2 linked regions of the Rattus norvegicus genome follow. The protein of the gene in region 1 interacts with the protein of each later gene in a biochemical or structural test. Links are inferred from orthologs where the notes say so. Each region holds a gene or a part of one and is shown in the gene's direction. Other genes may lie near its edges.

Region 1 (4,227 bases):
AGGGGGCAGGGGTATCTCCGAGTTCGAAGGCAGCCTGGTCTAGAATGAGTCCCGGGGCAGCCAGGGCTACAAAGAGAAAACCTATCTCAAAAACTCCAATCAAGGGGTTGGGGATTTAGCTCAGCGGTAGAGCGCTTGCCTAGCAAGCGCAAGGCCCTGGGTTCGATCCCCAGCTCCGAAAAAAGAACCAAAAAACAAAAAAACAAAAAAACAAAAAACTCCAATCAAATCTTCTAGATTGGGCCGGGCGTGACGACGCGGGTCGAGGCTAGCCTGGTCTACACAGTGTGCTCTAGGACGGCCAGAGCAAATAGTGAGGCCCTATCTCAACCCCCACCAGCACCTCCACAGGTAATTTTTAATCGATATTGTCAGCTGATGAGGGCACCCGTTTGCTACGCTTGGAACCAGTTAGTGGCAATCCGTTTAAAGCAATCCAAGACAACTCTCTCGTCCTCTGCCACGGAGGGAACTCGTGAGCGGTCCCAGGCAGGCCGAGTACTTCTCCCACCACACACCAGGAAGTCACCTCTCTGAACCTGGAGTTATACCTACCGCGTGAGGTCAGAGATTAAATGGACTGTTTGTGCACTGCTCACACACACACACACACACACGCGCGCGCGCGCGCGAAATTGCTTTTATTAGGAGCTCTCAGGAAAGTGGTGGCTCGCATCAGGCTACCACAGCCAAGAGGACCGCCACCTCTACCGAGGGCAGGCCAAGGCCCACTAAACGGCCCGAATGAACTCTAGGCCTTCCGGCGCTCTCCAGCTCTTCAGCGCGGCGAACGTTCTAGGCCCCTGAGAAGTCCACCGGGAGGCGCAGGTTTCCGCTACGCAAGGGAAATCCCCGAGAAATGCCCAGACCACCTAAGCACAGACGTCCATGCGGCGTACGGATACCTGAGGGAATCCGGGCCATACCGCCACCTACTCGCGCCTCACTCAAGCCGCGCCAAACTCGCGCGTTTCACTGCGCAGGCGTGTAGCGAGCGGGCGCTCAGGAACACTCAAAGGACCAGCACACTGACCAATCAACGTCCGCCTTGGCCAAAACTAGTCCCGCCCTCAAAAGCAGACGTCAGGCCCTGCCCCTAAGAGCCCCGCCCTCCCCCACGCTTTAGGCCCGACCCACGCCGTCCTGGGTTAAGGCTCGCGGTTGGTTCGGGGGACGGACGCGAGCTCTGGTTGGTGGAGGTGAGGTCACGAGAACACCTTCGTCGCCTTTCCAGAGGCGATTACTGGGCAAGCTCAGTCTTTTGCCTCAGACGCTAGCTGTAGCTGGCAGGCGGTTGTACGTGCTCCAGAGTCTTCATTACCCGCCGATCCAGTCGTCTTCGCGTGGGTTCCGCTAAGCTCTTCTGAGCTGCTCGCTCTCTACACACGCCGTCGCCGTAATCCGCCATCATGGTGAAACTCGCAAAGGTAATAGGCCTGACGCGCGAACACGGACGACTAGGCCTGCTTTCTGAGAGACGCGCGCGCGCCCGTCGCGGAGGGGAGGAGGGCCTGCGCACAGTCCCGGGCGCGTTCGAGGGCGCCATGCTGAGGGAAGTCTCGCGCGACTAGCGGGAGGTCTCGCGGTGTTTGGCCTCTGACTTGAGGGATGAGAGGAGCCGAGGCAGGTTCTGGGAGGGCGATGTAGAGTGCACCGGGGCCGGGGGTCGGTGTGAGGGGAAGTCGGAGGAGTTGAGCGCGGAGAGGGGGTTGGAGGCTCGGCGAGTGAAGTGGGCCAACCTTAAGCGGCTAGCGCTCTCGGCCCCGCCTCCCGGCGCACGTGCTCCGGTGCGCGGCCCGCCACGTGGGTTACGGCGCTCCGCACGTGTCGCGCGTCCGAGGCAGTGAGGGGAGTGGGAGTACACCGGGAAAGGGGACAGTAGAGTTGGCCTAGTTACCTAGCGATCCGCAGTCCCTGACCGTGACGGGTAGATGGACACGTGGTGGGCTCCTGAGGTAGCGCGTGGTGACCGGCTAGGTGACTCCACGTGGTTTGGCTGTAAGCGTGAGAAAGTAGGAAGTAGCTCCGATACAGAGATGCTTTTAAGAGGTGCCTTCGAGATAACCCCCTTCCCCGGCAAATAGTTAAAATGGAACCTTTAACTGGGTTTTTTTCTTTTTTGTGGAACGTGCCAGAAAATAAAGTGCCACGACTAAGTAGACTTTAAAAACCTGTGGCTGTTTCCTGGTGAAGGTTTCTGTCTGTAAGACAAATTATGCGCAGTTCTCAGAAAAATTTGCCAGGAAGAGTGTCGTGCCTGGCCACGAGAAGTCTTTATGCTTGTGTTCTTTAGTAAGAAAGGAGGTGGTGGCCGAGGACAAAGTGGCTTACAATGCGGGTGATTTTTTTGTGTGCATTTGTAGGCCGGCAAAACCCACGGAGAGTCCAAGAAAATGGCTCCTCCTCCAAAGGAGGTGGAAGAAGATAGTGAGGATGAAGAAATGTCAGAAGATGAAGATGACAGCAGTGGAGAAGAGGAGGTAGGATGCTATTTGAAAAATTGTGTGATTTGCAGTGGTAGATTGACTGGAAGTGTCAGAAATAACAGTCAGTTCGGGGGGGTGTCTGGGCAGAGTTTCGTATGTTGTATTGAGTAGAGTTTACTGTAGATTTGTGGGGTGGTTTTCCCTCCGTTTTTGGGAAAATTGCTTATTCTAGCCTAATTTTTATTCAGTCCATGGTCACTTGGCTTTGTGAATTTTGGCAGGACATTATGACAGGAAGCTGTAGACCAGCCTAACCTCAGATAGGTTCTCCTGAATTAGGTGTTAGCCACAGTATCCAGACAAATGACAAGTTTAGTGAGAAACCCAGACTTTGATCTAGGTAGAGATGGAATCAGGGTCTCAGCTTAGGTGGTACCATGTGAGTTTTTTGGGGTTACCCCCCCTTCTATATATTAAGGGACTAAGCTGGACACTTTAGAGGAGAGGGTAGCCTTTTTAGATTCTTGTTCTCTAAGCAAAATTTATTATTCCCCGTATTCTTTATCTCACATGGTTTGTTTTTGCAATACTGGTCCCTATCACTGAGCTTCAGCTTATTTGAATCTTAATTCCAATCATTGTTCAAAATACATTGTATGGGTAGAAAGCTGCTAATAACCCATTTGCTAGATATGACATTCCCAAGTTTCATTTAAAGACAATCTAGCACACAGGAGACAGAAATAGGAGTACATAGTGAAACCTTATCTCAGGACAGTTTTTATGGTCATGCTCAATCAAATTTCTTAGAAAAGCTCAGGTGCTGAGTTAAGAGTCCAGTTTTTTAAGCATTGAAGGCCATGTATCCTTATTTAAGGGTTTAATGTTTATCTTTATGTGTGTGAGTGCATTAAGCATGCTTGGTCCCCTCATGCTAGAATAGAATGTACTTGGATATCCTGAAACTGGTATTACAGCTACATGTGGATGTTAAACTTGTTATAAGAGTAACAAGTGGGGCTGGGGATTTATTTAGCTCAGTGGTAGAGCGCTTACCTAGGAAGCGCAAGGCCCTGGGTTCGGTCCCCAGCTCCGGAAAAAAAAAAAAAGAGTAACAAGTGCTCTTAACTTCTGAGCCATCTCTCCAGTTCTTTACTTTTTAGAAACATATCTAATGTCTATCTTGTGTTAGTAACTTAACATAGCATTGGATATAGAGGAATGCTTATGATTTGTTTGCTTTCAAGGTTGTCATCCCTCAGAAGAAAGGCAAAAAGGCTACCACAACTCCAGCAAAGAAGGTGGTTGTTTCACAAACAAAAAAGGCTGCAGTTCCCACACCAGCTAAGAAAGCAGCTGTTACCCCAGGCAAAAAGGCAGCAGCCACACCAGCCAAGAAAGCTGTTACACCAGCCAAAGTAGTTCCAACACCTGGTAAAAAGGGAGCTGCACAAGCAAAAGCATTGGTACCAACTCCTGGTAAAAAGGGAGCTGTCACTCCAGCCAAGGGGGCTAAGAATGGTAAGAATGCCAAGAAGGAAGACAGCGATGAGGATGAAGATGAAGAGGATGAAGATGACAGCGATGAGGATGAAGATGAAGAGGATGAATTTGAGCCACCGGTAGTAAAAGGAGTGAAACCAGCAAAAGCAGCTCCTGCTGCTCCTGCCTCAGAGGATGAGGATGAGGAAGATGATGATGATGAAGAAGATGATGATGATGATGATGAAGAGGAGGAGGAGGAAGATGGTGAGTTAGAGCTTAGGATATTGAGTACTGCATGTACACTCCCTGACCATCA
Region 2 (3,645 bases), on another chromosome or scaffold:
TCCCACAACTCAGGGAGGGCAAGAGAGAGGGGAGACTAGGATGGAGAGGTTCAACCAACTTCTTCTGCAGGTGGAGGGATGGGACCAAAGAGGAAGTGGGTAGGACCAGTTGTGAGTGGGAACATGTGCGGCAGCGGTAGTGTCCTAGGCTGCAGAGGAGAAGCCCAAATAGGCCATGCCCAGGGAAGAGAGGCTGGCGACAAATGCTGGGTGTTGGCATTCAGGTGTTGGCAGTGATGTGGATTTTACCAGAAGTGCCGGGAAGACAAAAATGGACAGGTTCTGAGTGAGGCAGATGGGGGTCCCCGTGGCGAGGCAGCAAGGAGGGACCCTAGTCATAGCTCCAGGCCACTGTGGACCCCTGCCAGCACTGAGAGACCCTAGATGTGTGCAGAGAGAGAGAGCTGTGATGCGCAGAGCTCAGATGTCAAGCCCACTCAGTCCCCTGCCTCAGCCCGATCCTGGTCACCAGACTGCCCCATCTTGGCACAATGAGGGAGTAGGCGGTGGGGGTCCATCCCATCCTGCAGTGAGGCTGCTCAGAGTGCCAGCCCAGGTGAGGGGATCTGTGGAGGAGACCGAGGCTCAGGAGCCATCACTCACTGCACCTTCGGCCCTCAGGAGATCGTGGACTGGTTCAATGCGCTGCGAGCAGCCCGCTTCCACTACCTGCAGGTGGCTTTCCCAGGAGCCAGTGACGCAGATGTGAGTGGATGTCCCCAAGTCGCCCTGCTGGGTAGGGGAGTGGGGAGGTAGCCATCCGGGGTGGGTCACAGGACTGAAAAAGGGCATCAATAGACTCGCTAGAAAGGCGGCAGGGTTGACTCCTTTCTGGGGTTGGAACCCAGCTGTGCCATGCTGTGTGCAGTCCCGGGAATGACACAGGGTGGGCCTCACCACCATCTGTTCTGTCCCAGCTGGTGCCCAAGCTCTCTAGGAACTACCTGAAGGAAGGCTACATGGAGAAGACAGGGCCCAAGGTAGGTGAGAGCAATGTGCTTCTAGGCTTGTTCAAGGTCAGCCATCTTGCTTTTGCCTGTCTCGGGGTGGCTTGCGGTTAGGCTGGGTGGCTGGCTGAGGGGTTGAGGGTCACTAGGTCACTGGACTCACTGGGCACTGATAGAGTGCCAGCCCTTTCCCAGATGCATCTCAAAGTGTCCTGGGACTGCCCACTTTGTCCTATGGCCTTAAGCTTCAGGGTGGTTCTTGAGGCCTCGTCTGTGCTCTGGTGCCGGGATGAGAACCCAGGATCTAGGAGAGTGACCTGGTTGCTTGGGTCAGCCTGAGCCTCCAGCCCTCCGGCCCCTCTAAAGCGGGGACCTTCACGTTTGCTCTGCAATGTGGAAGTGGTGGATTTTAACCTGAATCTCAGGCATGGCCAGGGTTCCTCATGCACGGGTTGGCCAGAGTGGTGCCCTGTGAGCCCTTGCCCACTGGGTGTTGAGTGGTGGTCTCCTGGGGCAGAGGTTTACCTTGGGGCTGCTGACTGCTCACTATCCTTTCTGACCCATAGCAGACAGAAGGCTTTCGGAAGCGCTGGTTCACCATGGACGACCGGAGGCTCATGTACTTCAAAGACCCTCTGGTAAGGAAGGTCTGGCTATAGTCCCCTGACTGGCCTGTTTCAGGGAATAGGGCTGGGATTCCTCAAGGTCTTGGATACTAGGGCCTTACCTGGTAGGGCTCAGAGAAGAAGCAGAGAGGACAGTCAAGGGTGAGGAGGTCCCCTCCTCATGCCCCAGCCTCTTCTTGCCCACAGGATGCCTTTGCCCGAGGGGAAGTCTTCATTGGCAGCAAGGAAAGTGGTTACACGGTCCTGGAGGGCCTCCCACCGTCAACCCAGAGTCACCACTGGCCCCATGGCATCACCATTGTCACCCCTGACCGAAAATTCCTGTTCACGTGTGAGACAGAGTCAGACCAGAGGGAGTGGATAGCAGCCTTCCAGAAGGTGGTGGACAGGCCCATGCTGCCTCAGGAGTACGCAGGTGAGAGGTGCAGGTGTGGGGCAGGAGGGCGGCGGTGGGGTCACCGGTGAAGGCCCCTAGTATGGTGCAGCTCTGTGTTAGCACCCTGGCAGACAGACTCCTGCCAGGGCCCCTGGACACGCTGTGGAGGGAGGGGAGATACAGGCTGTGGGGGGGGGGGGGGCGGCGGCTGAGTGAGCTGGCAGCTCCCAAGGTTAGAAAATTCCCATTTTTAGTGGAAGCCCACTTCAAGCATAAACCCTAAGGAAGAGAGCCCGGAGGCCCCAGGATTCTGCACTCGTGTGGCGGCGCTGGACAGCAGGAGAGCCTCTGTTCCTCGGTGTGGCCCAGGCATGGCCAGGTGGGGCTCAGGCAAGCCCATCAGATAGACAGTTTTTCAGAACCTCATTAAAGTTGAAGGCAGACTTGGTTCTGGGCCTCACTTGACCCTGGCCCTGTCATGACGCTCCCAGCCACGCCCAGCCGACCCACCCATTTTCCTGCTGCTGGAGGAAGCCCTGCCTCCCAACTTGAGCAGGACCCTACTAACTCTTCTGGCCTGAGGGGATCTTGGCCTCAGGACAGGACTTGGTGCTGGGCTGCTGTGGACAGCCATGGACAGCCATGAACAGCTGTGGCAGCGGGCTGGCCTGGCTGCTGGGGACTCACTCTGGGATGTGCCGCATGCCTCCCCACTCCTCTCCCCACTTCAACAAGTATTTATTGAGCACCTGCTGTGTGTCAGTCAGGGATCAAGGGTCAGGGGTCAGCTCTCCTTCCCCTAGGGCTGACCCAGCTGGAGCATTGGGGGTCAGGTATTTTTCCAAGAGAACTGTGTGCATAGGCCCTGCACCCACCTGTTTGCCCCACCCCCCCACCCCCAGGCCCCTTGGGACAGCTGGCTGGAGCAACCAGGAGGGAGCCTAGCCTGCAGGGTGCTGTGCATGGAGCCCAGGAGCGGTTTCCTTGGGAGCCAGGGAGCGCCCCATCCCATCTGCTTTTGGGCGTCAGTGCCCAGCTCGGTGCTGTCCCCGCTTTGTAACCCATGCCCTCTGGCCCTGCCCTTACAGTCTTTGAGCCCTTGATGAATGAAAGCCCAAGCCAAGAAGTGGTCATTGGCAGGAATGGCTGCCCCCCAGCCCTGATTGCTGCTGGCAGGCCAGTAGTTAAAGCTACCTGTATTTATTTCCCCCACTGCCCTCTGGCCACCCCAACAGATGGGCTCCCTTCTATGGGATCCCCAAAGGGCAGGTCCTGGCCGCTGGACAGCTGGGGAGCATTGATGGGGGACCCATCTGTGAATGACCTGGTCCCTCCTCAAAGCTAAGCCCTAGGGACCTGGGGGGAGGGGTCCTTAGTTGGGCTTCTGCTGCCCTGTGTCATGTCGCCTGGAATAAAGTGTGGCTCTGGCGTTGTCCCTTCTGTGTGTTTGTGGCTTAAGTGGGAGGAGGGGGCTGGTAACCCCTTTGCTATGGCAGCCTCCCTTTGGGCAGTAAGGGACATGAGAAGAACCATGTCACTTCCACGGCAGGCCTGACAGAGCTGGCCTGACTCTGCAACCTGTGTCCCATAGTCCCTAGCCACCACGCTGTGTGTGTGTGTGTGTGTGTAAGGAGAACTGTGGGGTATGTGAGAAGCATTCTGTGTGTAAGGGGCACTATGGATATATGGTAGAGGT

The links.
Region 2: the proteins of Ncl (region 1) and Adap1 form a complex in vitro, tested with the Homo sapiens proteins (2 studies listed by BioGRID). The link is inferred for Rattus norvegicus from reciprocal best matches to the Homo sapiens genes NCL and ADAP1.

What each region holds. Positions count from the first base shown.
Region 1 is NC_086027.1:94,453,140-94,457,366, reverse strand, and holds the start of Ncl (nucleolin), read left to right. Parts: upstream 1-1,283; 5' UTR 1,284-1,409; coding exon 1,410-1,427; intron 1,428-2,363; coding exon 2,364-2,480; intron 2,481-3,673; coding exon 3,674-4,175; intron 4,176-4,227. UniProt on the Homo sapiens protein: Nucleolin is the major nucleolar protein of growing eukaryotic cells. It is found associated with intranucleolar chromatin and pre-ribosomal particles. It induces chromatin decondensation by binding to histone H1.
Region 2 is NC_086030.1:20,486,578-20,490,222, forward strand, and holds the end of Adap1 (arf-GAP with dual PH domain-containing protein 1), read left to right. Parts: intron 1-621; coding exon 622-705; intron 706-917; coding exon 918-980; intron 981-1,513; coding exon 1,514-1,585; intron 1,586-1,759; coding exon 1,760-1,988; intron 1,989-2,203; coding exon 2,204-2,232; 3' UTR 2,233-3,384; downstream 3,385-3,645. UniProt on the Homo sapiens protein: GTPase-activating protein for the ADP ribosylation factor family. Binds phosphatidylinositol 3,4,5-trisphosphate (PtdInsP3) and inositol 1,3,4,5-tetrakisphosphate (InsP4). Regulates the incorporation of CD63 and CD9 into multivesicular bodies.